Linked DNA regions of Stegostoma tigrinum. The protein of the gene in region 2 purifies or fractionates together with the protein of the main gene of each other region. This does not show direct contact. Links are inferred from orthologs where the notes say so. Each region holds a gene or a part of one and is shown on either strand. Other genes may lie near its edges.

Region 1 (15,950 bases), on a different chromosome or scaffold from region 2:
GTGCTTAATATGGAAAGTCATCTTGGGGCCTGGGATAGGGGAGAATGAGGAGGTGTGGGGGCAAATGTAGCATTTCCTGCAGTTGCAGGGGAAGGTGCTGGGTGTGGTGGGGTGGCAGGGCAGTGTGGAGTGAACAAGGGAGTCATGGAGAGACCGGTCTCTCCGGAAAGCAGACAAGGGTGGGGATGGAAAAATGTCTTGGGTGGTGGGGTCGGATTGTAGATGGCGGAAATGTCAGAGGATGATGCGTTGTATCCGGAGGTTGGTGGGGTGGTGTGTGAGAACGAGGGGGATCCTCTTTGGACGGTTGTGGCGGGGGCGGGGTGTGAGGGATGTGTTGCGGAAAATGCGGTCAAGGGCGTTCTCGACCACTGTGGGGGGAAAGTTGCAGTCCTTGAAGAACTTGGACATCTGGGATGTGCGGGAGTGGAATGCCTCATCGTGGGAGCAGATGCGGCGGAGGCAGAGGAATTGGGAATAGGGGATGGAATTTTTGCAGGAGGGTGGGTGGGAGGAGGTGTATTCTAGGTAGCTGTGGGAGTCGGTGGGCTTGAAATGGACATCAGTTACAAGCTGGTTGCCCGAGATGGAGACTGAGGGGTCCAGGAAGGTGAGGGATGTGCTGGAGATGGCCCAGGTGAACTGAAGGTTGGGGTGGAAGGTGTTGGTGAAGTGGATGAACCGTTCGAGCTCCTCTGGGGAGCAAGAGGTGGCGCCGATACAGTCATCAATGTAACTGAGGAAGAGGTGGGGTTTGGGGCCTGTGTAGGTGCGGAAGAGGGACTGTTCCACGTAACCTACAAAGAGGCAGGCAAAGCTGGGACCCACGCGGGTACCCATGGCCACCCCCTTTGTCGGAAGTGGGAGGAATCGAAAGAGAAGTTGAGGGCGAGGACGAGTTCGGCTAGGCGGATGAGGGTGTCGGTGGAGGGGGACAGGTCGGGCCTACAGGACAGGAAGAAGCAGAGGGCCTTGAGGCCATCTGCATGCGGAATACAGGTGTATAGGGATTGGACGTCCATGGTGAAAATGAGGTGTTGGGGGTCAGGGAATTGGAAGTCCTGGAGGAGGTGGAGGGCATGGGTGGTGTCACGGACGTAGGTAGGGAGTTCCTGGACCAAAGGGGAGAAAATGGAGTCCAGATAGGTGGAGATGAGTTTGGTGGGGCAGGAACAGGCTGAGACAATGGGTCGACCAGGGCATGCAAGTTTGTGGATTTTGGGAAGGAGATAGAATCGGGCCGTGCGGGGTTGGGGAACAATGAGGTTGGAGGCTGTGGGTGGGAGGTCTCCTGAGGTGATGAGGTCATGAATGGTGGAGATGATGGTTTGGTGCTCGGGGGTGGGGTCATGATCGAGGGGGCGGTAGGTGGTGGTGTTGGAAAGTTGGCGTTTGGCCTCGGCGATGTAGAGGTCAGTGCGCCATACTACCACTGCGCCACCCTTGTCTGCGGGTTTGATGGTGAGGTTGGGGTTGGTGCGGAGGGCTGCCCGTTCTGCGGGGGAGAGGTTGGAGTGGGTGAGAGGGGTGGAGAGGTTGAGGCGGTTGATATCTCGACAGCAGTTGGAGATGAAGAGGTCGAGGGAAGGTAGGAGGCCTGGAGGTGGTGTCCAGGAGGTGGACGTGTGTTGGAAGCGGGCGAAAGGGTCAGTGGAGGGAGGGTTAGGTTCCCGGTTGAAGAAGTAAGCGTGGAGGCGAAGGCAGCAGAAAAACTGTTCTATGTCCAACCGTGACTGGTATTCGTTGACGTGTGGTTGTAGGGAGACAAAGGTGAGCCCTTACTGAGGACTGACCGTTCGTCCTCAGTCAGTGGAAGGTCTGGGGGGATGGTGAAGATACGGCAGCGCCGAGTGTGGCTGTCTTCTCTGGGATTGCTGGCTGTGGAGATTTTGGGCGGGGCGATGAGGTCGTCAGCTGTGGGCGGGGTTCCGTCGGCGTCGGCCGTGGAGCCCAGACTGTTTGACAAAAACGGCTCCCTATGGAAACCCGATCTCATATTTAGAAAAGACCAGAAGATCGCGGTGGTAGATGTCACAGTGCGGTACAAGAATGACAGTAAAGCACTGGAAACAGCATGGCGAGAGAAACAGGAAAAGTATAAACACCTGAATGCCAAGGTCATGGAATTGACGGGAGGTGTGGTGCCCAGATACTTTGGCTTCGTGATGGGCGCACAAGGCAAGTGGCTGGATATGAATAACCGCCTCATGAAATTCCTTGGCATCGAGAGATACGACACGTTCGACCAAAAGACCTCAAGACTCACTCTTTCACTGACACTCGAACTCTTACAACTCTTCAGTGACAAGTGAGCAAAAACCGCAAACGGTGAGGTAAGATTCTCCACCGAGACATAATCCTTATATATTTGCCAGTATCATAAGTAGGGCCCCGCTGATAATGACGATAACAACCAGCATCATATAACACCAGTATCACCTGGTCCTTGGTCTGTGGTGATACTAGAGAGTACACAAACATCGAGCGATGTAAAGACTCGGAAAAGGCACTTCCCAGATAGATTGGATTTGTTATCTTTTGAACAATGGAGGCTATATAAGGAGATATAAACAAACCTTGGCAGTTAATGGTTAGTCATCAGCCTACTAATGCATTCTCTACAGCAATACCTCTACCGATCAGAGACCACTTGCCAATCATCATCACACTCTTAGACAATATAAACTCTTGTTCCCCCCTTATATTGGTATTATCTTTAATGTCCTGAAAGGTGCAAGATAAAATACTTCAATTTAATTTTTTTTCCTGGTATATACTCAAGTTCCATACACCATGAAATTATGGAATTTAAAGAATGAGGTTGTCGATTTAAAGGATTTAAAGTATGAGGGATTTAAAGTAATTGGACAAAGAATTAGAGGGCAGTTAAAGAGATACGTTTTCCACTCAGGTGGTGCTGGGAACTAGATCTCAGAGCCTCACTTTAAAAACAAAAAGGACATGCAGCTTATGTACTCTAACTGACAGACCTGAAGTTGGAAGGTTGGATAAGACTGGATAGCTCTTTTGCAGATATCACAGACATGATAACCTGAATGACTTCCACTCAGACTGTAAATCTATGTTCGTATGGTCAGTATTTCTATATTTTAAGCTGCCAACTTCCACATCAAGCACCAGGTCATTGGATGTGGTATAAATTTCCTTCTACCCTATTTAGACAATGTACTTCAGCAAAGATTCTTCAAACACCAATATTATACTTTCCCAATCCCCACTCTTGTAGCCTGTCTGGTGTGGGCTGAATGACATACTTCAGCACTGCATATTTCACTGCAAGGATACCAGTAGAGTAATTTATAGTAAAAAGATCACTCGGCCTATCAAATCCATGCTAGCTCCCTGTACAGCAATTCACAGCCTCATCTGCCAGCTTGATCCCCACAACCTTTCTGGTTTATTTCCTTTGTTCTAGTCTAATTTCTAGTGATTGTTTCCAATTTACCACCCTTGTGAGCGTGAGTTCAGGTAGTCTGGTATGTAGAAAAGTTCATTCTCCCCTCACCATTTGCCAAAAAAACTAATTGAACTTAGTCTTTTATAACAGGATGGGTTCAATGTCCACACCAGCTGAGGTTACTATGAAAGATTCTCCTCTCAACCTCTTCCCTCGCCTAAGGCATAATGACCCTCAGTTAAAACACCACCTGTCATTTCTCTCTCTGCTCCACCCCCCAACCCCCACCAATAACAGAGCTCTGGTAGGACTAGGACCATTTTACTTTTATACAAACAGCCAATTTGAACACTTGTCCTCCTTATTCAAACCTGTCACAATCTTACATACCAAATCTCTCTCAATCATCTTTACTTGAAGGAGAATAATTGCAGTTTGGGGTTAGCTAAATTCTCTCACCCCTAGATCCATTTTGTACCTTTACAGACCTTAAAACCTTCCTGAGTGTGTTGACTAAAGCTGGAATCCAGAGGCAATACACCAAAAATCAAGAAAAACTATGATGATCTGGACACAAGTCAAGTGAAGACAAGTCAGTCTTTCTAGGTGACATGAAAGAGTGAAAATGAAAAGGCAGTGTATATAAATGAAAACTGCACAAGACAAGGCACAAAAAAAGTCTAAACTGACTGGAACAATGAACAGAATAAGCAGGATGACGAAGGACAATACACAATGGCAGCAAACCTTAAGAACACTGGCTGAGAGAATGGTAGATAAGGCTTTATTTTGCATAAAACTCAAAAACGTTTGAGACTGCCTGTTATTTTCTTTTCTAAACAGTTCTTTCTTGTACCATTCTCAAAAATATGCATTTAGTTTGTTCCACAATTATTGCCTCCTCGTCACATCTTCCTGATATGACTTTTATCAAGCTTAGTCCACAAAAAACTGGGTGAATTCATACTTGCGAACAAATAGCTCCTGGATTCTGTCCCACCCTGTTTCAGGGACCTGGGGTCTGCCGATACATGCAGGAAGCTTCCCATCCTGCCCTCCAAGATCTGCTGCAAACACTTGAGGGAAGTGAAACAGTCTTCTGAAAGAGATGTTCTGACAGATCTGCAGAATTCCTGCCGTCTGGTAATTCCATGACATTGGTGTCAGCCTGCAGTCTAGTGAGAGAGTCCCCAATGTTCCTCTTTCTTCATCTTTCATCCTGTATCATTTCACTAAAAGTCAACAGAAGAATTAACTAAGTTTTCACGCCAACCAGCCTACTTAGAGCCTATTTATAGCTCAAACAACTAGCATCCACTGGTGACACCAATTCAACCTCCTCTACAGGAGACCGCACTGTAAGATTATCTGAGCAGATCATTCTCACCTCTAAATCGGTGAGGAGTGCAGGGAACGGAGATATTAATTACAAAAATAAGTTAGGATAAATCAGAAACAATAATTACAATTGTAAAAGGGAATGCGAACATAATACACTACAAATTAGCTTGCTAATAGTAACATCAAGTTTCTAAATCAGACAAGCGTACTGTAAAAGGTTTATTCTTCACACAGTACTCATGATCTTCATTAGAACATAGTTGCTCCTACTGCTTTGACTGCATATCGTTTATTATTGATAGGAAATTAAAACTGATAATTATATATGGAAAATATTATTTAATTATGTCATACTTTCACCTTCAAAAAAATGATAAACAAATTCAGAATATCATCAGTTACATGGTGTCAAAAATACAGAAATTTCAAGCGCAGAGGGAAGCCAGTCAGTCCACTGGGCCTGCAGCAGCTCCTTCAGAGAACTATCCTGCACATCCCTCTGCCCTGCATGTTTTCTCCTCTTCAACTATTTATCACATCCCTATTAATGATTACCATTTGATCTACATACATCATTATTGCATTCAGTGCATTCTAGATCATAAGAACTTCAGTGTAAAAACATTCTCATGGCTCCCTTTGTTATTTTGCTACTTTCCTTATAGTGATGCCTTCTTACCACTGGACAAAGGAGCAGAGGCAGGCCATTCAATGAAATCATTGCTGATCCAAGAATTCTCAATGCTATCTTACCTTATCCCCACAATTCTTGATTCCTTTATTGATTAAAAATCTGTCTATTCTCAGCCTGAATGTAAATTAATGGCACAGCCTCTACAGCCTTGAGCCCTGGTGGCTCAGTGGGTACTGCTGCTACCACACTGCGCCAGGGACCTGGGGTCGATTCCATCCTTGGGCAACTGTGTGTAGAGTTTGCACGCTCCCTCTGTATCTGTGTGGGTTTTCGGTAGATGCACTGGTTTCCTCCCAGAATCCAAAGACACGCATTAGGTGGATTGGCCATACTAGGTTATCCATAGTGTTAAGGATCTGTAGGTTAGCCACGGGAAATGCAGGGTAAAGGTAAGCGGGTGGGTCTGGGTGGGAGAGTTGATGTGGACACATTGGGCCGAAAGGCCTGTTCCCACAGCACAGGGATTCTCTGGATTAAAACAAAAATCAGATTCACTATGCTCCAGGCAAAAATTCCTTTTCATATCCTTATTCCTTTCTCTTTGAAACAAAGGCCAACATTATATTAGTATTATTACTATTACTCTCTGAACAAGGAAGAACAGAATTGCCACCACAATCATTTCAACCATGACCTTACTGAATGATGGAGCAGGTGTGGAGGCAAATGGCCTCCACAACTGCTCCTATTTCTTGCATTCTTATATTTCTTGTATTCTTATTGGCTGGGTCAGTATTTATGCACTTCCCTAATTGTCTTTAAGAATTTGGTGACGAGTTGCCTTCTTGATATGCTGCAGTCAGTGTGGTGAAGGCACATCCACAACGCTATTGTGGACAGAATCTGAACTATTCTTATTTGTTAACAGATGAACAACAATATAGCTCCAAGTTAGTATGTAATTTGGAAGAATATTTGAAAGAATCATATTCCCATATGTCCTTGTTCTGTTGGTTGACAAAGTTACAGATTTGGAAGGTGTTGTTGAAAGGTACTGAAATGGATCTTGTGGAAGGAAGCGTACATTGTGGTAGAGGGGATGAATGTTTAAGGTGGTGGACAAGGTGCCAATCTAGTAGGCTGCTTTGTCTTGGACAGTACTGATCTTACAGACATACAGCAAGGAAACAGATTCTTCAGTCCAACAAGTCCACGCCAAACATGATTCCAAAATAAACTAGTCCCATCTGCCTGCTCCTGCTCCACATCCCTCCAAACCTTTCTTATTTATGTACTTATCCAAGTGTCTTTCAATAATTTTAATCAAAGACTACCTGTAACATTGTGGATATCTCTACATTCCACAGACCATAGCGGTTCAAGAAGGCAGCTGAACTTCACCTTCCCCAGGGCTATTAGGAATGAGCAATAAATGCTGGCTTAACAAGAAGCACCCATATCCCAAGAACAAAAAAAACTCCTGTTTTGTGCCGCACAGATGGTGATATTTGAATTCCCAGATTCTGACCTGCTCTTGTAGTTATAGTATTCACATGACCAGAAATATAACTGGACCAGTCAATAGTACAACGTTATTGATTATGGGGGATTCAGCAATGGTAACTGTCAAGGGCAGATGATTAGATTTTCTCCTCTTGGGAATGATCATTCCCCAGCACAAACATTACTGGGCATTTATCAGGCTGGCCCGAGGGTAGTCTAGACTTTTAGAGAATCATAGAAAGTTTATTTGCATAGCAGGAGACCATTCAGTCCACCATACTAAAACTGGTGCTGTAGCTGACAGTGCAGAAGGTTACCTTGATCAGGTGGGCCAATGGGCCAAGGAATTGCAAATGGAGTTTAATTTAAATAAACATGAGGTGCTGCATTTTGGAAAGAAAAATCAGGGCAGGACTTAGACACTTATTGGTACGATCCTGAGGAACGCTGCTGAGCAAAGATCTTGGAGTTGCAGGTAGACATGATAGTGAAGGCGGCATTTGGTATGCTTGCCTCTTTTGTTCAGTTCGAGTATAGAAATTGGGAGGTCATGTTGCGACTGTACAGTACATTGGTTAGGCCACTTTTGGAGTACTGCATTTAAAACTGGTCTCCCTGCTACAGGAATGATTTTGTGAAATTTGAAAGGGTTCAGAAAAGATTTACAAGGATGTGGCCAGGTTTGAGGATGTGAACGAGAGGGAGAGGCTGTACATGCAGGGCTATTTCCTCTGGAGCATTAGAAGCTGAGGGGGTGACCTTACTGCTGATTATAAAATCATGAGGGGCAAGGAGGGTGAATAGCTAAGGTCTTTCCCCAAGGGAGTCCAAAACTAGAGGGAATAGGTTTAAGATAAGAGAGGGGAAAAGATTTAAAAGTGACCTAAGGAGGAACCTTTTCCACACAGAGGGTTGTGCATGAGCTACCACAGAAGTGGAGGAGTCTGATACAATTACAACATTTAAAAGGCATCTGGATGAGTATGTGAATAGGAAGGGTTTAGAGGGATATGGGCCAAATGCTGGCAATGGGACTAGATTAATTTAGGATATATGATCAGCATGGATGAGTTGGACCAAAGAGTTTGTTTCCATGCTGTACAGGTCTATGACTGTAACAAAAAAAGTCGCTGGAAAATCTCAGCAGGTCTGGCACCATCTGTGAAGGAAACCACAAAGTTAATGTTTTGGGTCCGGTCACCCTTCCTCAGAACTGATGGTGGCTGGGAAAACGTCAGTTTATATGCAGAAAATAGGGAGGTGGGTGGAGTAGGGAGTGAACAGTAGGATAGAGCCCAAAGAGAAAGACAGTTGGACAGACAAAGGAGTTGCTAATGATCTGGCTGGGAGGGTAACTGATGTCAATTCATCCAGGGATCTCCCACCTCCGCTTCCAAGCTAATAGTCCCCCCCAACCCCGTACAGCTGGTTTCTACCTCCTGCCAAAAATCCACAAACAGGACTGTCCGGGCAGACATATTGTTTCAGCCTGCTCCTGCCCCACAGAACTCATCTCTTCCTACCCTGACTCAGTCCTCTCCCCCAGGTCCAATCCCTACCCACATACATCCATGATTAATCTGACGCCTTACACCAGTTTCACAACTTCCAGTTTACTGGTTCCAGCCACCTACTCTTTGCCACGCATGTGCAATCCCTTTACACATCCACTCCCCACCTGGAGGGTCTTAGAGCTCTCTGCTGCTTCCTGGAGCAAAGACCTGAACCAACCCCACCCACCACCACCCTCCTCAGCTTGGCTGAGCTTGTCCTCTCACTCAGCAACGTCTCTTCTCATTTTCTTCGGGTAAGAGAGGTTGCTATGGGTACCTGCATGGGCCCTAGTTATGCCTGTCTCTTCGTGGGGAAGATGGAACCTTCCTTGTTCCAGTCCTATTCTGGCCCCCACCCACAACTCTTTCTCCAATACATCGATGATATCATCGGTGCTGCTTGCCACTCTTGTTTGGAATTGGAAAACTTCATCAATTTCACCTCCAATTTCCACCCTGCCCTCACTTTCACCTGGTCTATCTCTGACTCCTCCATTCCCTTCCTTGACATTTTTGTTTCCATTTCCGGGGATAGACTAACCACTAATATCCACTACAAACCCACTGACTCCCACAGCTACCTCGACGGTACATCCTCACACCTCACTTCGTGTAAAAGCTCCATCCCATTCTCTCAGTTACTCCATCTCTGTCACATATGTTCAAATGAGGTCAACTTCGATAAGGGAACCTCCGAAATGTCCACCCTCTTCCTCAATCAAGAATTCCCCAGCTCCATTGTCAACAGGGCCCTCAACCAGGTCCAACCCATCTCCCACACTTCTGCCCTCACCCCTTCTCTTCCCTCCTACAACAGCGATAGGGTTCCCCTTATCCTCACCCTCCATCCCACCAAGCATCCACATCCAGAAGATTGTCAGACACCACCTCCAGCAAGATGTCACCACCAGAGACATATTCCCCTCCCCTCCCTTGTCTGCATTCCACAGGGACCATTCCCTCCAGGTCACCCTGGTCCACACTTCCTTCACCCCAAGACTCCTCACAGCACCTTCCCCTGTAACCAATGAAGGTACAACACCTGCCCATTTACCTCCTCCCACCCCAGTATCCAAGAATCCAAACATACCTTCCAGATGAAGCAACACCTCACTTACACTTCCCAGAATCTAGCCTACTGCATTTGCTGCTCAGAGTGTGGTCTCCTCTACATTGGGAAAACAAAGCATAGATTTGGTGACCGCTTTGCAGAACATTTTACACTCTGCTCGCAAAAAAAGACCCTGAACCACCTATTGCCTGCCACTTTAACGCACCACTCTGCTCCCTGGCCAACACCTCTGTTTCCAGCTTGCTACAGTGTTCCAGTGAAAGCCCAACGCAAACCGGAGGAACAACACCTCATTTTCTACTTGGGGACCCTACAGCCCTCTGGACTTGATATGGAGTTCAATAATTTTAGGGCCTAAGCTCCCCCATGTCCCAGGCCCCCCACCCCACACACCAGGCCTTGTTACCACAGAGCCTGCCACTACACACCCTCGATTGTTAGTCACTAACAGTCCCCATTAACAATTAGTCACCCTCCCAGCCTGATCATTAGCAACTCCTTTATCCAACTGTCTTTCTGTCTTTGGACTCTATCTTATTGTTTACTCCCTACCCCAACCACCTCCCTATTTTCTGCATATAAACTGATGTTTTCCCAGCCACCATTAGTTCTGAGGAAGGGTCACTAGACCTGAAACTTTAACTCTGTGGTTTCCTTCACAGATGCTGTCAGACTTGCTGAGCTGCTCCAGCAGAGATTTCTGATGAAGGATTTAGGCCCGAAATGTCACCCTTCCTGCTCCTCTGATGCTGCTTGGCCTGCTGTGTTCATCCAGCTCTACACCTTGTTATCTCAGATTCTCCAGCATGTGCAGTTCCTACTATCTCCGCAGTGAATCATTTCACTTCTGATAGACTCGAATCATTAACTCTTGTTTTTAATTTCTTTGCAGATGCGACCAGTGCTGCTGGGTTTCTCCACCACCTTTTTGCTTCGTTTCAGTGAAAAAGCGGCTTTACGGCGCTACAAGAATGCAGTTCTCCCGCTGACATTGGTTCCCCTTGCGCTGACCCTCGCACACGGCACCGGTTCAAATGTACCTACCGAGGGTGGGGGAGAGAATGCAGCAAGCAGTGTCCGAAACCTCAATCCCGCTGCCAGCCGAGGGAAAACAGAAAATTGCCGGAAAACTCCGGCAGCATCAACACAGAGGCTTCGGGCCCAGACCGAGACACTGCGCAAGCGTGCCGCGCGGAGCATCCTGGTAGTTGTAGTCTTTCCCTACGGTGCGCACATGCGCATGTGCACCGCCTTGTCACCTGTCGGGTGAAGGGAGGGGGGTTTGGGAGAGGGAGGAGAAAGGGATGGAAGGAAGGGCGGATTGAGGAAGGAGGGAGTCAGAAAGGATGAAGGGATGGTGGAAGGGAGAGTTGAAAAAGGCAGTGATGGGTAAAGGAGGGGATGAGAAAAGGGTAAAGTATGGAGTGAAGGATAAAGAAGTGAGAGGTAGGAGGGAGATCGGAATGAATGGGGCGTGGAAGCAGGAAATGAGAGTGGGTAAGGGAGCGTCTGAATGGTAGAGGAGGGAATGAGAGTAAAGAAGGGAGGGAGAGAGTGGGAAGTGAAATGGAAATGGGAGAAAAGAGCAAGTGAGGAGAAATATTAGGAGAGTTGAGGGGCAGAGGACTGGAGCAAGAGGGAATAGGATTATTGTACACAAACAAAAACGTTCTGAGGCAGGGTCACTGGACCCGAAATGTTAACTCTGCTTTCTCTCCATAGATGCTGCCTGACCGGTTATTTTTTACCTCCCAGCAATTTCTGTTTCTTTTTCTGATTTCCAACCTCTGTAGTTTCTTGATTTTATTTTAGTATAGGATTATACAAGGTTTGAAAAGGGATGGATTTGGGCAGGAGTGGAGAATATGAGGACAGTGGAGGAGATACAATGGTGTGAGAGTTTATGAAAGAATGGATCACGTTTCCTTTCTCTCATGCACAGGTCTGAGTAAAAATAAAAATGGATCTACATATTGTGTGAAAACACATTTCACTTGGACAAAATCCCCAGGTACATCCTGGGCTCAAAATTTAATCCATAATGTTCGCCTTCTTGCAAGTCATAACATTCATCCAACATTTACACTGCTAGCAATGTAAACATCGCCTTTGAAAGGTGGAATTTTATTTAAAATAAACTTCACCAAACTTGAGGAAAATTATGTAAATTGTCTTGTGGAAAAATGTTTGAGATGTTTATATTGCTTAGTGGGGCTCTACACTTGTATTGACACTGAAAAATCAAATGTGGAATCTTCTTGCCCTGCAGGATACCCAGAGCATGAGAAGGGCAGGTGGGAAAATCTAATTGGTCAGGAGGGAAGAATCCAGTTTCCCCATAGCAGCTTAAAGTTTTTCTATGAAATTCTCAGAATCTTCCAGGCAAATCAACTTTCCTGACCTATTGGGAACATCTTTTGCATTTGTTCGTGTGTTATGAATACTCACCAACACTACAAGCTCCTGGAATTTCTGAAGAAGAGTCCTGACCTGAAACTTCAGCTTTCCTGCTCCTCTGATGCTGCCTGGCCTGCCGTGTTCCTCCAGCTCCACGCTGTGTTATCCCTAGCCCCTGGAATGTTCGCAAGTACAGGCTTGTTAGGCAAAAACAAGAAACGTGTGCGCTCACAAACCTAAATATATATATATAGAGAGAGAGATACTAGGAACTACAGATGCTGGAGAATCTGAGGTAACAAGGTGTAGAGCTGGATGAACACAGCAGGCCAAGCAGCATCAGAGGAGCAGGAAAGCTGATGCTTTGGGGTAGACCTGGGTCTAGACCCAAAACATCAACTTTCCTGCTCCTCTGATGCTGCTTGGCCTGCTGTGTTCATCCAGCTCTACACCTTGTTATCCTAAATATATATATCTTGTTTGTGAAAACAGAAAGTGCTAGAGAAACACAGCATATGTCACTGGCAGAGTAGACCTAAACCTCCAAGTTCAAGTGAATACAAACTTCTTGTGAAATTTGACTCTTCCTTATCAATTTTAAACCTTATCCCCTCTCCATTGTGGGTAAAACCCTGGTCGTCAGGTACAAGGTACTGCTGGTGTTGTACATGGTGCATGTCTGGTCCATCCCCAGAACCTGTGCCATTCCAGCCACCCAAGCCATCTTCTACTTCATCTGGAAGTGTAAGATGGACTGTGTCTGCAGGGTCACTATGTACGAATCTCTGGATAAGGAAGTGAAGAATATTCCCAATGCCGCTTGCATCCTGATGGTCACCTTTGTGTTTGGCTGCATCAAGCTATGCATATACACTCAGGACATAAACACCAAGTGTCACTGCATACTGAGCTTCTACTTGTCCCCGGTGTTGCGAAGGATGGGACTGGCCTTGGAGCTGTGGAACGCTGCAAGTAGTTGGACTGTTCTGTATCACATGGAGAAATTTGCAAAGAAAAACACCTTTCACCGAAAGACCAATAGGAAGTGGTCAGCATGCAGAGTCTTCAGAGAAAAGGAGAGGATAGACTCTGACGGGTGGCTCCCTGAGCAGATTGTCAAAGTCTTTTGCAGAATGCCTAATCACCAGAACTTTCCAAAAGCAAAATCAAGGCATTGCTTGGCTGGTGGCAAGAATGCCATTACCTTTGAGATCCTTCATGCACACCTGGTCAGTCTGCATCACTGCACACTGCCTTTGGGGGAGGAGGTGTTGGGTAAAGACTGCCCACATCTCCTGCTAGAATGTGTCTTTGCAAAGGATGTCTGGAGAGAAGTAGTTCTTTCTGTCATGATTCGTCCTAAGCAACTCTGTGATGCAGGAGTCACACCCTATGGTCTGTTCCCCAGGAGGCACGCAGTGACAAACATTGACTGCATCTGGAGGGCCATCAACTCTGTGAAGGATGCTCTTTGGTCTGCCCGAAACATGGTGATTTTCCAGTGCAAGGAGTTGACATCAACCGAGTGTGGCAGACTGGCACATTCAAAAGTCCAGGACTACATGCTGAGGGACACACTAAAGCTTGGTAACAAAGTGTGAGGCTGGATGAACACAGCAGGCCCAGCAGCATCTCAGGAGCACAAAAGCTGACGTTTCGAGCCTAGACCCTTCATCAGCTTTTGTGCTCCTGAGAAGCTGCTGGGCCTGCTGTGTTCATCCAGCTTCACACTTTGTTATCTCGGATTCTCCAGCTTCTACAGTTCACATTATCTCTGATCACTAAAGTTTGGGGTAGCTGTCGCTAAGATGCAGTGGAGAGAAATCACCATCTAAGATCTTTCAGCAAAAGTTCAACAGGAGTCGGTGCAACTATTGTACCCTCTTGCTGTCCTAAGTATATGTAAATAGTATCTTGCATAAGTTAGAAATGCCTTGGGTTTATTTGTGGGAACTGTTGGGGAAAATCAGACTTGAATTTTCATTTTTCCATAAGCAAAGACTGTACAAAACCGAACTGCTTCAGTGACAATGTGTATTAAGATTTTTATGAATAAAGTACATTTTTGAAATTAAAATCATTTTTAAACCCTTCTCTGTCACAAGAATGTGGGCAGCATGTGCCTCATAGGTAAAGACAGACTTAAAATATTCATTGAATACCCCAGCTATGCTTCTCGCCTCCATGTATGACTCCCCTTTATGGGCCTTCATCATCCCAACTCCTCCTTTTAACATTCTTGTATGACTGATATAAAAGACTTTGGGATTTACCTTATTGTTAGTCTTTTCTCATAACCCTCGATGCTTCTTTTATTTACCGTTTCACCCCTGCTGTGAACGTTCTATATTCAGTTTGGTTCTCAGTTTTATTTTCTACCCGACACATGTTGTAAACACACAAAATCTTCTCTAACTTACTTTCTGTCTACCTTGTCATCTAGGGAGCTTTGGAGTTGTTTGTCCTAGCATTCCCTTTTGATGGAATATTCTTTCACTGTGTGCAAAACATCTAGGTTTGAAAGAATTTCTGCATTGCGGCTCATAGACTGCATGCACAGTATGAGTATCAGTGTTGGAAGGAATGCACGTAGTGCCAATGAAATGGGCTGCTTTGTCCTCGGTGGCGTTAAGCTTCTTGAATGTTGTTGGATCTGCAGTCATCAGGCAACGTTACGGTTATTCATTTGTGGGGCATGATGTTGCTGGCTGGCCAGCATTTACTGCTTGGCCCAGGTTGCCCTTGAGATGTGGGGAGTATTACATTATCTTCCTGAATTGTACCTTGTGGAGGTACTTTGTGAAGTTAGGGATGAATTAATTACAGCGAAATTTTCCAGCCTGTGACTTGCTCTTGTAGTCACCATATTTTTATAGATGATCCAGTTCAATGTCTGATCAGAGGTAACCTCAGGATGTTGATAGGGGGTTTTTAGTAATCGTAGTGCTTTTGAATTTCAAGGGGCAATAGTTAGATTCTCCCTTGTGGGAGTTGGTCATTGTCTGGCATTTCTGTGGAGTGATAGCTACTTATAATTTTTAACATCTTTCCCTTTTCTTTCATTTGTGGATGAATGTGTGACTGACTGTGTGAGACAGACCATTGCCCTGGGTTTTGATGGGAGCAATAAACCATTATTTAACCCTAGATGATTTTCTGTGAATCATTCTGAATCGAACTTCATAAACAGGATTTGGTGAAACATACCATCGTCTAAGAAAATAGAATTAAAAATTACCCATAATACGTACAGGAGTGGGGGACAGTAAAAATACTTCACTTCAACTGTACTGACATCATGCATAAATAACGAGCTAAGAGGTACATAATCACGTGAGAAAACCCGAATCCGTCTCACTGAGCAGATGTACTTCCTGGTTTTAGGCTCACACGTACATTTGATCTATGAAAAGCAAGTTTTCCCCAGTTTTGCTATCATGTACCTTTTAACCTTTCAAGGATTTAGTCTTTCACAGGATTTGGGCATCACTGGAAAGTTCAGCACTTGACCTGAGTGGCTCTGGATCATTTGAAAGGGCAATTAAGAGTGAACTACATTGTGGATCTGGAGTCACATGTAGGCCTTATCTCTCATTTAGATAGGATAGGCACTAAGGTCCCTTCCTAAAGGACCTAGTGAACTGGATTGTTCTTTTTTACAATAATGGGCATTATCCATGAGAGTATCTCATCTAGAAATCTAGAATTGAATTTAAATCACATTAATTGCCATTTTGAACCCGTGTCCCAAAAACATTTACCTATGTCTCTGGATTATTGCTCCAGTGACATTACTATGTCACCATTACCAGTGATAGCATGACTCTGCTTTTGTGTCAGGAGGGGTTAATATTTTGTACTGTTTTCAAATCCTTCTAGGACATTGCCTCATACTATCCATGCGACCTCTCCCACTTCTACAAACATCCTGCAATTCTACCTCTTGAGCCCAATATCAACCATTTGAGCTGAGTCACTTGTTTCTAGCTCTGCAACTCCCTCCTTGAACTTTTCACTCATTATTTATCTGAA
Region 2 (15,601 bases):
GTGGGAGAGAAGACAGACAGGTCAAGGAGGCAGGGATGAAGCTAGTTAAGGTGAATGTAGCTAGGTGGCGGCGGGGATTGGTCAGTGACGTGGTAGGAACAGATAATGTGGGAGAAAACGGACAGGTCAATGAGGCGGGGATCGCGGGGGAGATCTGGTCCTGGGAATGAGATCGGGGGTGGGAAGATTTGAACCTAGCGTAGGTGTTCGACAAAGCAGTCTCAGAGTCTCTGCTTGGTCTCACTGATTACAGGAGACCACATTGGAAGCAGGGAATACAATAGACCACATTAGCGCATGTGCAGGTGAACAACTATCTGATGTGGAAGGTTTCTTTGCAGCCTGGGGGGGGAGAGGGGAGGAGGGGGGAGGGGAGGGAGGGGAGGGAGGGGAGGGAGGGGAGGGAGGGGAGGGAGGGGAGGGAGGGGAGGGAGGGGAGGGAGGGGAGGGAGGGGAGGGAGGGGAGGGAGGGGAGGAGGAGGGGGGAGAGGAAGGGTCAGGCGTAGGGTCAGGCGTAGTACCACCTGCGCTTGCAGGGAAAGGTACCGGGGGGTGGCGGGGCTAGTGGGGAGTGTGGAGCGGATGAGGGAGTTGCGGAGAAAGCTGTCCATCCAGAAAGGCAGATAAGGGTGGGGAGGGAAATATATTCTTTATAGTGGGATCAGATTGCAGGTGGCGGAAGTGGCAGAGAATGATGCGTTGAATTTGGAGGTTAATAGGGTGATATGTGAGGTCAAGGGGAATTCTGTCTTGGTTTTAATGCGGGAAGCGGGTGTGATGGCTGAGGTGTGGGAAATGTAAGAGATGTAGTCAAGGGTGTTTTCGACCACTTTGATTGGGGAGGGGGGGGGGCGCGAGGAGGAGGAGGAGAAGTTGTGGTTCTTGAAATACGAGGACATCTGTATGTTCAGGGCTGGAACGCCTCACCTTTGGAGCAGATGCTGCGGAGGCAGAGGAATTGGGAATATGGGTTCGTATTCTCGCAGGAGGGTGGGTGAGAGGAGGTGTAGTCTAGGTAGCTGTGGGAGTCGGTGGGCTAGAAACAGATATCAGTTTTGAGGTGGTCACCAGAGATGAAGACAGAGGGGTCCAGGAGGAGAGAGAGGCATCAGAGATGGTCCAGGTGAACTTGAAGGTGTTAGTAAAGTTGATAAACTGTTCGAGCTCCTCGTGGGAGCACAAGCTGGCGCTGCTACAGTTATTGATGTAACAGAGGAAATGGTGGGCGATAGTGCCTGTGTAGCTGTGAAAGAGGGATTGTTCGACGTATCCTACAAAGAGGCAGGCATACCTTTGGCCACCCCCTTAGTCTGTAGCAAGTGGGAGGAGTCGAGGAAGCAGTTGTTAAGGGTGAGGACGAGTTCAGCAGATAAGGGAGTTGGTGGTGGGGGATTGGTTGGGCCTGCAGGAGAGGTAGAAGTGGAGAGCTTTTAAGCAGTGTGAAGGGGAACACAAGGGCCTGGACATCCATTGTGAAGATGAGGTATTGGGGGCCAGGGAATCGGAAGTTTTGGAGGAAGTGGAGGGCACGGGTGATTACTTGAACCTAGGTGGGGAGTTCCTGGGCCGGGGTGAGAAAACAGAGTCGAGGTAAGCGGAGCTAAGTTAGGTGGGTTAGGAGCAGGCAGAGACAATTGGTCAGCCAGGGCAGTTGGGTTTATGATTTTTGAGAAGGAGATAGAATTGGGAGATGCAGGATTGGGGAGCGAAGAGGTTGGAGGCTGTGGATCGGAGGTCACCTGAGGTGATGAGGTTATGGATGATCTGGGAGATGATGTTTGGGTGGGTCATGATCAAGGGGGCGGTAGGAGCAGGTGTTGGAGAGTGTTGGGGCCTGGCCCCGGCGATTTAAAGTTCAGTGCGCGATACCACAACTGCGTCTCCCTGTCACCAGGTTTGATAGTGAGGTCAGGGTTGGAGCAGACGGCTGCACGTTCTTAGGGTACAGGTTGGAGGAGTGGGAGGAGTGAGAGGCGTAGAGAGGTTGAGGTAATCAATGTCACAACAGCAGTTGATGTGGGCATACTGACAGTGCTGTCAAGGAAGGAATTTCAGGATTCTAACCCACGACAATGACAACATTTTTCCAAATCAGGTGGTGAATGGCTTGGAGAAGAACTTATCGGTCATGGTGTTCCCAAATATCTGCTGCCTTTGCTCTTCTAAATGGGGAGAGCTGATGGGTTTGGAACGTCCTGTCCGAGGAGCCTTGGTAAATTTCTGCAATTGTTCTGAGAAATGGCAAACATTATTGCTACTTGAGCACTGGTGATGGAGCAAGTGAATGCTTAGGTGGATGTGGTGTCAAACAAGCTGGCTGCTTTGTTCCAATGTCAAGCATCTTCAGTGTTGTTGGAGCTGCACTCATCGAGGTTAATGGGGAGTATTCATCACACTCTGGACTTGTGCCTTACATGGCTTGACAATCACAATGCAAATTACCTGCTACAGGATTCCTAACCTTTGACTTGCTCTTGTAGCCATTATATTTATTTGGCTAATCCAGTTCAGTTTCTGGTCAATGATAACCCCCTGGATGTTGATAGTGGGGGATTCAGTGACTGTAATGTGATTGAATGCCAAGGGGCCACAGCTAGGTTATCTCTTGCTGTTGATGATCGTTACTGGGCACTTGTGCAGAACAAACGGTAAATGCCACTTGTCAAAGCTTGTATCTTAAGGCATTTGAACATGGGATTTCTCAGTTTCTGAGAAATCACGAATCATGCACTACACTGTGTTATCATTGGCAAACATCCCCATTTCTGACATTACGAAGAAGGGAAGCTCATTGATGAAGTAGGCGGGGACTGTGATGACTGACAATAACTGAAACCATCTTCCTTTGATCGAATTTCAACTTATAGAATATTGAATGGTCTGCACAGAGTGGATGTTGGGAAGATGCTAGGACCTGAGGGTACAGCCTTAGAGTAAAGGGAAGACCTTTTAGAATGGAGATAAGGAGAAACTTCTTCAACCAGAGTGCGCGGAATCTCTGGAATTCACTGCCACAAAAGGCTGTGGAGGCCAGGTCATTGAGTACATTTAAGACTGAGATAGATAGGTTCTTGATTATTAACAGGATCAAGGGTCAAGGGTGGGAAGCAGGAGAACGGGGTTGAGGAACTTATCAGCCATGATTGAATGGCAAGCAGACTCAAGGGGCTGAATGGCCTAATTTCTGCTCCTATGTCTTATGGTCTCATAACATGGTAGAGTTTAGCATTCACTTTGACAGTGAGAAATTTGGATTGGAAACAACTATGCTAAACTTTAATAAATGTCATTACAAAGAAATGACAGTAGAGTTCGTTGGAAAATTTTGGGAAAGGAGTTCAGCAGAAAAGACAGTTGATGAACAACAGCAGATACTTGAGACAATTGCTCATGGTGCAAAGATATACCTGGAGGAGAAGAGGATAAGCCAAGGAAGTTAAGGACAGTTTCAAATTGAAAAAAATAAACATATAACGTGGCAAAGATTAGTGGTAAGGCAGCAAATTTGGAAAGTTTTAGAAGTATCAAAAATTTAATAAAGAGTGAGAAAATAAACCAAAGTCAATCTTAACTATCACGAAAATTTACGCAACTAATATTAGGCAAAACAACATACCATCGTCATTGAAAAATTTTTCCACAGGTACAACAAGTTGATTAATCTCTTCCAATTCTTCATTACTGATCTCTGGATAAGGAAAAACTTCTTTCTGGAAAAAAGTGTATAACCTGAGATTCTTTATAATACATAATCTTTTTTATTAACCAATTTAAACCAGGTTTTTTTCTCCTTCTTCAATTGTATCCCTTTCATTTCAGAGTCAGAAGACCGGGAACTAAAGGTCAGCGCAAAGAATAAATAATCAAGTATGAGATTTCAGTGCAATGCTGTAGTGTTCACAACCCTAGTACAGCATTTGATGCAAACATGAGCTTTCAACCACATACTCAAACTATTACAAAGACTGGCTATTTCTAAATCTAAACATTGGACAACTATGCCAGTGCTTCAGCTGCCCTGCTGCTAAAACCTTCATCTACGTCATCATTATCTTGGGACTGGACTGTCCCAATGCATTCCTTGTTGGCCTCTCCTCTTCCATCATCCATAAATTTCAAATAGTATTGCCTGTATTCTAACCCACAACAAGGCCCCATTCATTCATTACACACGCTTGCTGACCCCCACCAACTGTTAGATTAGCAAAGCCCCAGTTGGAAAACTCATTCTGATATTCAAGGCCTTGCCTCTTCCTACACTACATTCTCCTCAACAACATTCAGATACCTGTGCTCTTCCAATTCCAGTGCCTCATAATTTCACGGATTCTTGTCAAAGCAGTGACTTCAGTTGTTAAGACTCTTAAGCATTGAAATTCCCTCTCCAAACTTCCCCATTTGTGATACTCTTTTCCCTCCTTTAAGAAATTCTGTGAAATCTCAACCACCAAGCACTAGGTAATCTTGAATCTCGTAATTTATTATATCTTGTTTAATAAAACTCTTGTGAAGCACTTTCCAATGTTTACTATGTCAAAGGTCAATATATAGCTACCAGATCCCACAGTGCTATCTTAGGAGCAGAGAAATACTTCTGGTTTCCTGGGCAAACAGTTATCCCTCAACCAATATCCTTAAGATAGATGGTATGGCCTTTAAGTTACTGTTAATTCCTTATGATTCAGCTATTACATTGATTTTGCAAAGTGTTTGCTATATCCTCTGTTGCAACAGTGACTACATTTCAAAACTACATCTTTGCCTGTGAAGCACTGTATGATGTCCTAATATCAAACACACTTACGGGGCAGAAGTTTTTGTAAGGGGCTACCTAGGTTCTAGCCATGTCTTTTCAAAATGCAATAATGGATCTATAAGTTCTTGGATAGTAGGATCTGCCAATGCTGGAGAATCTGAGATAACAAGGTGTAGCGCTGGATGAACACAGCAGGCCAAGCAGCATCAGAGGAGCAGAAAGCTGACGTTTCGGGTCTGGACCTTTCTGCAGAAATGAAGGGTCTGAAGAACGGTCCAGACCTGAAACGTCAGCTTTCCTGCTCCTCTGATGTTGCTTGGTCTTCTGTGTTCATCCAGCACTACACCTTGTTATCTTGTATAAGTTCTTGGTTTCTCTTCACTTCCCATTTCTGTAAACAGAGAACCAATTGGATTTTCCAATTCTGGGACACCATTCATAAATCAAGTGTTCAAAGAACTGTAACAGTGAAGGAGACAGCAGTTTAGCCCTTTGTATCTGCACCAGCTCTCTGAATTTGCAATTCAGTGCCAATTGTAAGGGACCATTGTCTTGTGGATTTTTTGGATGAGGCATTAAATGACATGGTATAACTGAGATGTTAATGGAATAAAATCCCATTGATTTCTATACTTTTATAAATTAATGTCTTTTATCTGCCTACACATAGGTGTGCAGGCACTGCCCTGAAGTTTCCTGCCCAGCTAGGAATTCATTGTAAGACTTTGTAACTCCTTGTCTTCCCTCGCGTCAGTATGCAGACACTGTCTTAAGCTTCCTGACTGAATAAAATTAGAATTAAACTGTCTCAAATAAGGTTAAGTGAGGAACATTTGTAATGGTGAGAGACTTCTGAAGCATGTAACTTCTGTCGCTGACAAAGGGGCCAGGGCACTGACTTTGTTGTAGCCAGACACACCAGCAACTTGAAATCACAATCTGTCCTGATAACAATTTGAAATCGCCTCCTGCCATTAGCAGCCACTTCACCAACAATTGATACTATATCCCGGTCTTTTATGTTCTTGATGTAATAATTGTTTGGTATCCTGTCTTTGTCTGTTGTAATAATTGTTTCATGTATCATGTCATTGTGAGATGTGAAATTGTTTTATGTATTATGTACTTAATAAAGTATAAAAAGTGGGGACTGTCCACTGCTCGGGGAGAATTACTTGTGAAACTCTGCACTCTGTGCCGGGTTAAGTACAGTGATTCTCCACAGCTTGTACTTGCTTGGTAATAAAAGGATTTGTGTTTTTCTAAACAGGTCAGTGTCTTGTTATTGCATCAAGTCCGTGAGGGTCTCCGAAAACGAACCAGACAGAACAGCTGGATGTAAAAGTGTTTATGGCACTAAATCAAATCATAGGTCAGTTTCCCAGTGTCCTGGTGAATATTTAATCCCTTATTCAACATCACTGAAAAAACTCAATATAATCACACTGCTTTTTTGGGGGGGGGGGGTGTGGGGGTGTTTGCAATTAGAAATTAGCTACGTGTCCGATATTACAAGAATGATTACAGTTCAAAAATGGTACTTTATTGACTGTAAAGCACTGACATCAATAGTCATAAGGAGTCTGATCTTAGACAGCAGTGGATACATTGCACTTTCAGGCCAGGTTAAACAGATTATTTCTTAACGAAGTCAAATGTTATGGAGTAGACAGAAAAGTAAAACGATGATCTAGTTAAATGATGAAGTAGGTTCAAGAGGCCCTAATATATATGCTTTGTATTTTCATATGCAATAACCTGCTAGTGGCTGACCAATGTCCAAGAACTCTGACCGGGTATTCAGATAAAATAAATATACATAATCTTAAAGAAAAACAGCTGCAATACTGACTCTCACTTCTGCATTCTAATCCTCTCATGAAGATAGAAAATTCACATTTTAAAAGTCAGTAGCACTTATTCTACTACACATGTTTTTAAGAACTGAAATGCACAACCGAGTGAATTTAGGCATACTTATCACAATTTGGTAGAAATTCACCAGTAAACATTGTTACATGCCACACCTATGTTGAGCTTAGCAATAGTACACCTTTTGTTTTTAAACAGGCTGTCCAAGAGACCTTGAAAGGTAAATTAACATCAAATGCCTGCATCAAACAATACAGCAACATCTTACAAAATGAATTCAATGAAGCGTCAATTTGACAAATATTTGTTAGCTCAAGGACATAACTGTTTTGACTCAGAACTAGAAGGCCTGAGTATGGAAGAGCCCGACAGCTAGGTCGTCACTCCATCCTCATGTCTCTTTTCCCTCTATTGTCTTCCAAACTACGTTGTGGCCCAGACCTTCGCCATTTCTTCCCCATCTTTCCACAGTCGTCTCCTCGTCTTTTTAATTTACTAGGGCCCTTTTCCCCAACCCTCCCCCACCCTCTTCTCATTCTCTCACGTATCCTCTCCTCCCAACCATCCACCTTCCCTTCTTACCCACCCAGTCTCCCCTCACCTCCAACCCCGCCTCTGCCCTCCCCACCCATGCCCCCCGAAACCTCCATGCATCGCAGGCCCCTCTGCCTCCCGAACCCCTGCCTAGGCTCCCCGTAACCACTCTCTTCGAACCCTTCGTCCCCCTCCCAAGCCCTTCCCCGCCCCGGCCACAAACCTGGTTGATTTTCCCCAGAATCAGTTCCTTGACATAAGCCAGGCTCCGGTCAGCAGACCTGAAACCGCGGTGATGACAGCACGTAGGGAGCAGCCTCCCAGTGCTGCCATCCTCCCGTAAGCGCTTGCCCGAGGCCAACGGCAGGCGACAGGCGGACACACGGACCAACGACCGTCCACCGGCTACCGCAAACCGCTGCATGGCTGACCTCTGACCTCAGCAGTCGTGGATCCGAAACGGCCTACGTCGCACGGTGCTGACGTCACAACGACCGGGTGCCAGACCGCTGGCGGCCACTAGGGGGCAGGCACCTTCCAACTGGGGACCCTGTCCTTCAGGCCAAAAGGCGCGTGGTTGGTTCGGTTTCAGCCAAGAAACAATCGGCAAAGCATCTTTTTTTTTATAAAAAGGGTCTTCACTTCAAAAACCTAAGGCGAAGGACATTTACAAAATTAGCTTGCCCAATAAGCACATTACAGTCGTGCAGGCCTCAAGCTGTCAACCACCACAAATTCATTGCCCAGGCCATCAGAACAGAGAAAGGCTCACATAGGAAAATCAGGAACTAGATAACAACCACCAGAAGGAACAGGGAACCTGCACCTGTCCGGTCTTATCGCAGAAGGTTGATTTGAAGGTACAACAGGTAATTCAGAAGGGAAATGGAATTTTGCCCTTCATTGCTAGAGGGATTACATTTAAAAACAGGGACGTTACGTTACAGCTGTACATGGAGCTGGTGAGGCCACACCTGCATACTGCATGTAGTTTTCGTCTCCTTACTTGAGAAAGGCTATACTGGCACCGGAGTGGGTGCAAAGGAGAGTCAGTAGGTCATAGAACATAACAGCACAGTACAGGCCCTTCAGCCCTTGATGTTGTGCTGACCTGTCATACCGATCTGAAGCCATCTAACCTACATTGTTCCTTGTACGTCCATATGCTTGTCCAACGACGACTTCAATGTACTTAAAGTTGGTCAATTCTGGAGTTGAGAGGGTTGGCTTATGAGGAGAGACTGAGCAGACAGGGATTTTTTCATTAGAATTTAGAAGAATGGGGGTGGGGGGTGGAAATCTTTATAGAAATATAAAATTATGAAGGGAAGAGATAAGATTGAAGCAGGGAGCATGTTTCCGGTGGCAGATGAAACTAGAACAGCAGGACTTTAAGGAAGCGGATTTAGGACTGATTTGAGGAGGATCTTTTTCACCCAAAGGGTGGTGAAGCTATGGAATTTCCTGCCTTGTGAAGTAGTTGAGGCTTCCTCATTGAATGTTTTTCAAAACTAAGATAGTTAAGTTTTTGAACGGGAAAGGGTTTACAGGTTATGGTGAGAGGGCGGGTAAGTGGAGCTGAGGCCACAAAAAGATCAGCCACGATCTTATTGAATGGCAGAGCACACACAAAGGTCCAGGTGACCTACTTTCATGCTCCTGGTTCTTATGTTTGTATGTTCAGGGACAAAAGTAGTAATTTCTGAAAAAACTCAGGTCTGGCAGCCTCTGTGGAGGGAAGTCAGAGTTAACGTTTTGGGTCCAGTGACCCTTCCTCAGAACTGATGGTGGCTGGGAAAAAGTTGCTCTTTTATGCAGGAGATAGGGCACAGGGCAGGGCAGTAGGGATTAAGTGATAACAAAGTGTGGAGCTGGATGAACACAGCAGGTCAAGCAGTATCTTAGGAGCACAAAAGCTGACATTTCGGGCCTACACGATTCATAAGAAAAGGGGGAGAGGGAGAGGGTTCTGAAATAAATAGGAAGAGAGGGGGAGGCAGACCGAAGATGGAGAGAAAAGATAGGTGGAGAGGAGAGTATAGGTGGGGAGGTAGGGAGGGGATAGGTCAGTAGGGAAGATGGACTGGTCAAAGAGGCGGGATGAGGTTAGTAGGTAGGAAATGGAGGTGCGGCTTGAGGTGGGAGGAGGGGATAGGTGAGAGGAAGAACAGGTTAGGGAGGAGGGGACAAGCTGGGCTGGTTTTGGGATGCAGTGGGGGAGGGGGAGATTTTGAAGCTTGTGAAGCCCACATGGGAACCCTGCTGCCCAATGGTATCAATGTGGAATAGGAGTTGCTGTTCCTGCAACCTTCAGGTGGCATCATTGTGGCACTGCAGGAGGCCCATGGTGGACATGTTGTCTGAGGAATGGGAGGGGGAGTTAAAATGGTTCACAACTGGGAGGTGCAGTTATTTATTGCGAACCGAGCAGAGGTGTTCTGCAAAGCGCCCCCCAAGATGTGCAGGTGAACATCTGCTTAATATGGAAAGTCATCTTGTGACCTGGGATGGGGGTAAGGGAGGAGATGTGGGGACAAGTGTAGCACTTTCTGCGGTTGCAGGGGAAGGTGCCGGGTGTGGTGGGGTTGGAGGGGAGTGTGGAGCAGATCAAGGAGTCACGGAGAGAGTGGTCTCTCTGGAAAGCAGACAAGGGTGGCGATGGAAAAACGTCTTGGGTGGTGGGGTTGGATTGTAGATGGCGGAAGTGTAGGAGGATGATGCGTTGTATCCGGTATGTGAGGACGAGGGGGATCCTCTTAGGGCGGTTGTTGCGGGGAGGCGGGGTGTGAGGGATGTGTTGCGGGAAATGCAGGAGACGCGGTCAAGGGCGTTCTTGACCACTGCGGGGAGAAGGCTGCAGTCCTTGAAGAACGGGGACATCTGGGATGTGCGGGAGTGGAGTGCCTCATCCTGCCTGACTTCAGATATTGATGCCAGATCCACACACAAGTAAAATCAATTCATACATTTATGACCCCTGGGACTACAAATGTTAGGAGTAAGATTTCTTCAAGATTGACAACGTATCTTTTACAACAATTGGGGCAGGACGGTGGCTCACTGGTTAGCACTGCTGCCTCACTGCACAAGGGACCTGCATCCAATTCCAGCCTTAGGTGACTGTCTGTGTGGAGTTTGTATATTCTTGCTATGTCTGTGGGGGTTTCCTCCCACAATCCAAAGATATGCAGGTTAGCTGGATTGGCCATGGGAAATGCAGGGTCACAGGGTTGGGGAGGGATGCGTCTGGGTGGGATGCTGTTTGGACAGTTGGTGGGACCTTCACACTGTAGGGATTCTACGATAATGAGGATTATGTGATGATAATTGGGTGAAACAAGACTAATTTCTTCATAAGTGGAAAATGTGCATGTGTCCATTTTGGCAGGAAGAACAAAGAAAAGCTTGAAATTGAAATGGTGAGAGATTGTAAAGTTTTGTGGAATTTGTGTGTCGTTGATCATGAGTTGCAAAAGATAAGTGTGCACATACAGAAAGTAATTAGGAAAGCTAGCAGAGTATTGTTATTTATTGCAAACAGTATTGGATAGAAAGTGTGGAGATTATGCTTTAGTAATACAGGACACCAGTGAGACTACACGTGGAGTACTGTGTACGGTATTGGTCAACTTATTTAGGAAGGATAGAAATGCATTGGAGGCAGTTCAGACAAGGTTATGACTAGGAATAGGTGGTTTGCCAAGTGAGGAAAGGTTGAACAGCTTAGGGTTGTATCCAGTAGAGGCACTTTAATTGAAATATGTAAGATCTTGCCGGGGTAGATGTGGAGAGGAGGTTTCTTTTTATGTGAATTTCAAGAACTTGGAATCGCACTTTAAAAGTCAGGGGTTATCAATTTAAAACAGAAATGAGACAAAAAGCGAAGATTCTCAAAAGATTGAAAAGCAAAGTTTTTGAATATTTAGAGGGAGAGCTGGACTTTTGTTCAGCAAAGCGGTAAAGTGTTATTTGGGATGGGCAAGAATGTGCAGATGATATCAGTGAACAGTGGAGCAAGCTCAAGGTGGTGAATGGCTGAATGGCCTACTCTTTTTCCTGATTGGAGCTGTTGTAACAAGCTCCATTCACTATTTAAAATCCTTTTGATTTTAGAAGCTTAAAAGGTTTACTTTTTGGAGGCTAAAAAAAGGAACAAGCAAAACATTGCTTGTAACGTAATGAGGCCGCCAGCAAAAGGTGTCAAAAGTAAGGAATCACAATAACCAAAGGAGACAAGTGGTCCTGGTCTGAGGAAAGTGTGTCAGAAAAGAGGCTTCATGGAGAAAGAGGTAGCAACCAAAGGATTTTCTCACCAAACATGCTTAGTTCCATGTAAATACTCAGCTTTCCTGGTTTAACCTTAATTTCCCCTCATGTTCATAATAATCTGATGCTACTTTATGATCTTCAGGGTGTCTTAGCTTAAATGATGACAATATTAGATGTTGTGACCTGACAACTCCCAGGATTGTGAATAATGATGGCTGTGCAATAAACATTCCTTGCCATCAGATCCCATAACAATATTAGAGAGAAGTTTGGGACTGCTTGCCAAAGTGTTGGAGTGATTTTGATTTGGTATTTTCTTAAAAAAAATTAGAAATTAGAGCAGAATTAAATAATAAAGCCATTGAAGCCTGTTCTGCCATTTAACAATATCATGGCTGACTTTCTACCACAGCTTCACTTTCTCACGCTATCCCCACATTCCTCAATTCCCTTAGAATCCAAAAATCTATCAACTTTTGACTAAGATATACTCAATGACTGAGAAACCTCAAAACTTCAAAGATTTATGACCCTCGAATTGATAATAAAAAGTTCTTTATGTCTTGATCCCAAATGTGCAATCTCTGCTGAGACTGTGGCCCCCAGTTCCAGATATTTTTCTCAAAATATACTTTATTCATAAAATTTGAAGTTTTTTACATGACCAAAGTTGACATTAAACAAGGTACTAAATTGTTTTCTTCCAATATCACTAAAAATTACAGTTAATATTTGAAAAATTCATTATGTCAGAGATATAAGCAAAGGGGTTTTTACCTAGGATCCAGTCCCTTTCTGAACCCTAGTTGACAAACTTTAGACAGTGATCTTTTCCCTTGGGCCAGCTGCCCCAATTTTTAGTCATCCCTCAGCGCATAGTCCTGGGCTATGAATTCCGATCTAGTATACTTCTGGCTGTAAAGACTTCAGTTTGTTTTGTGCTTAGAAAAGTGCAGATATGACCATATTGTAATTCCGTCAAATTAAAAAACTAACTACAACTGCTGGAACAGAAGGTTTTGAAGAAGGGTCACAGGACCCGAAACGTTAACGCTGATTTCTCTCCACTGATGTTGCCAGACCTGCTGAATTTTCCCAGCAATTTCTGTTTTTGTTTGTAATTCAGTTAGTTGCTATCACCAAGTCTATAGAAATGAACTGATCTCCTGTTCAAAAGATCATTGTTTCCAAGTTGCCCTGATGAACAGGTTTTTGAGCATGAAACAAAACAAAACAAAATACCAATATCCTCAGTATTGTAAAGGTAAGGTAAACTATAATAAAAAGAGATGCTGAGCCGGTCACAACCTGGTTAGTGATTTGGTTTCGGAGCAAAGCAGGCAATCCGATACATTCTCAAACTCCCAGTGCAGTCTGTGTAGGAATGAACAGACCATTCTCATGGCAAACCAACAACTGTCAGCATTTCTAGATTCTCCAGACTACGGTGGTCCAATTGAGAAGCTAACTGCCTCTTGCTCAATGTTTTCATGAGCCAACTTCGTAAATTACCTCCTCATATGATCTGAATATCCACACATGGTAAATAGATATCTGGCTTATCAAAAGTTACAAACAGCTCCATTGGGGAAAATAAACTTGAAGCCATTATTGTCTGTCTTTATCCATTATGGGAATAATCAATAATATTGTCCTCCTTTCTGATGTACAACTTCACTCCCTTATTAATTCATCATTTCAGAAAAACACAAAATTGAAAGATCTGTCAGCATAAATGAAAAATGAATTCTGGATCGTTAATTATTACCCCCAAGGACTACTTCACAGTCACATTTAGAAAGATTAAATTCTGCTTCAGCACCTGTCGGAGCTCAGATTCAAGCAAGGATTGACAGAGAGATGTGGGGAAACTGGATTAGTTGATAAAGGTTAGTGGTTAAACCCAAATCACATTTCAGCACCTCTGGGAAAGTTAAGTTGTGGACACAAACTAAAACATAGGACGATGCTGTCATGGTTAACAGAGAGGCAGGAGTGCAGCTCAATATTCCACGATAGAGGGTAGAAGGAGGTAAAAGAGGAGGTGTTGCATATTGATCAAGCAATCAATTACAGCAGGAATGAGTGTAGTATCTTTGAAGGCTCCTTAAATGAAGCCATATGTGGTAAACCTTTTTAAAAAAAAACAATCACATTGCTGGGTGTGTACGATAGGCCCCCCTCATAGTCGGAGAGAAGTAGAACAGCAGATGTAGGCACATTTCATAAAAGTATAAGGGAACGATAGGAGATTTCAACTACCCCAACATTAACTGGGGCAGCATGATGGCCCAGTGGTTAGCACAACTATCCCACAGCACCACAGATCCAGGTTCGATCCCAGGCTCTGGCGACTGTGTGGAATTTGCATGTTCTCCCCATGTCTGTGTGGGTTTCTACCCAAAGATGTGCAGATTAGGCGGGTTGGCCATGTTAAATTGCCCATAACACCCAGAGATGTGCAGGCTAAGTGAGTTAGTGTAAGGGTAGGAAGGGGTCTGGATTGGATGTTCTTTGGAGGGTTGGTGTGGACTCAATGGGCCAAATAGCTTACTTTTACACTGCAGGTGTTCTAGTCAGTGTGGAAGTGCAGAACTCTTAAAATCCAGCCAGGATAGCTTCTGAGACAGTACGGAGATGGCCCCTCCAAGAGGCAGTGACAAAGCTGGGTAAGTGGATAAAATATTATTGGCTAAGCATGTTGCAGACAGCGATCATAACTATGTTAGATTCAAGATTTTTATGGAGAAGGACAAGGATGGACTTGAAGTTAGCGTTCTCAATTGTTGGGGGGGTGGGGGGTGCTGCTGATTTTAATAAGACCAGGTATGATTTGGTCAGAGTAGAGTGGGGCAGATACTTTCAGGTAAATGTCTGTCAGTGGGATACATTCCAGTAGGAAATAGGGAGAGTACAGGACCAACACGTGCCAATAAAGACAAGGAGTGGCACCAACAATTCCAGCAAATCTGATATATCAAGTGATAAAGAGAAAAAGGGAGGCTTATGCTAGATACTGAGGTCTCAGAAAAGCACAAGCTGTGGGGAGTTCAGAACATGCAAGGTGAAACTTAAAGCAGAAGAGCAAAAGCAAAAGGAGGGCATGAAGTAATGGTGGGTAAAGTTATTTCACAAGTACATTAAGGTAAAAAGAATTAGGGAAAGACTAGGGCTCAGAGGTCCACAATGCTAATTTGTGCATGGGGCCAAAGGACAGATTGGATTTAGAAATCAGGGAAGCAGAGACAGAGAGGTGGTTCTGAATGGTCTGGCATACTTAAAAGTAAATTGATCTCCAGCACCAGCAGAAATGTATCCCAGGCTGTTCAATGAAGCAAGGAAGGAAATAGTAGTGGCATTGGTAATAATTTTCAGTTCCTCTCATTTGTGGCATCAGTATTCAAAAGGGAGCAAGAGATAAGCTTGGCAGGCCTGGCAAAACTGATGTAGAGTCACTGGACTCTAAGCGTTAACTCACTTTTCTCTCCACAGATGCTGCCAGATCACTGCAATTGTTCTTGTTTTAGGATCTCCAACATCTGCAGTTTTTTGTTTTATTTTAGTGATGGTTGACAGAAGCTTGTTGGGTGTTGCAGGGATCAGTGTTGGGGCCTTTGCTGTTTGAGGCATAGAGAAATGGTTGAAATTCAAATGCAGGAGGGTTGATCAGTACGTTCATGGATAATATGAAAATTAGTGGAGTGGTAAAAGAGTAAGGACAACAGTCTTCAATTATAGGAGGATATAGATGGGCCGGTGAGTAGCAAATGGAGTTCAGTCTGGATCAGTGAGGTCATACTCTTAGGTAGGGCAATATGGGATGAATGGTGGGACCCCGAGAAGCCTGAGGATTAGAGGAGCCTTGATGTGCATATCCACCGGTCCTTTAAATGTAGTAGGAGAGGTAGATAAAGTGATTAGCAAGGCATATGGAATTTATGCCTTTATTAGCCAAGGCAGAGAGTTTAAGAGCAGAGAGGTTACGCTGGAACTGTATAAAAAGTAGATTAAACCACAGCTGGACTACTGTGCAATTCTGGAATCCACATTATAGGATGGATGTGATTGCACTGGTGAGTGCAGAGATTTACCAGGACGTTGCATGGGCTGTAGTGTTTTATTTACGGAGAGAGATTAGGTAGACTGGTGTTATTTTACTTGGAGCAAAGA

The links.
Region 1: the proteins of acad9 (region 2) and timmdc1 purify together in Homo sapiens (affinity purification with mass spectrometry; 3 studies listed by BioGRID and IntAct, counting the BioPlex papers as one, with this or other methods). This does not show direct contact. The link is inferred for Stegostoma tigrinum from reciprocal best matches to the Homo sapiens genes ACAD9 and TIMMDC1.

Annotation. Positions count from the first base shown.
Region 1 is NC_081372.1:5,681,687-5,697,636, forward strand, and holds the start of timmdc1 (complex I assembly factor TIMMDC1, mitochondrial), read right to left. Parts: upstream 10,715-15,950; 5' UTR 10,566-10,714; intron 4,651-10,565; 5' UTR 4,637-4,650; coding exon 4,386-4,636; intron 1-4,385.
Region 2 is NC_081364.1:25,607,858-25,623,458, forward strand, and holds the start of acad9 (complex I assembly factor ACAD9, mitochondrial), read right to left. Parts: upstream 7,623-15,601; 5' UTR 7,587-7,622; coding exon 7,386-7,586; intron 3,711-7,385; coding exon 3,617-3,710; intron 1-3,616. UniProt on the Homo sapiens protein: As part of the MCIA complex, primarily participates in the assembly of the mitochondrial complex I and therefore plays a role in oxidative phosphorylation.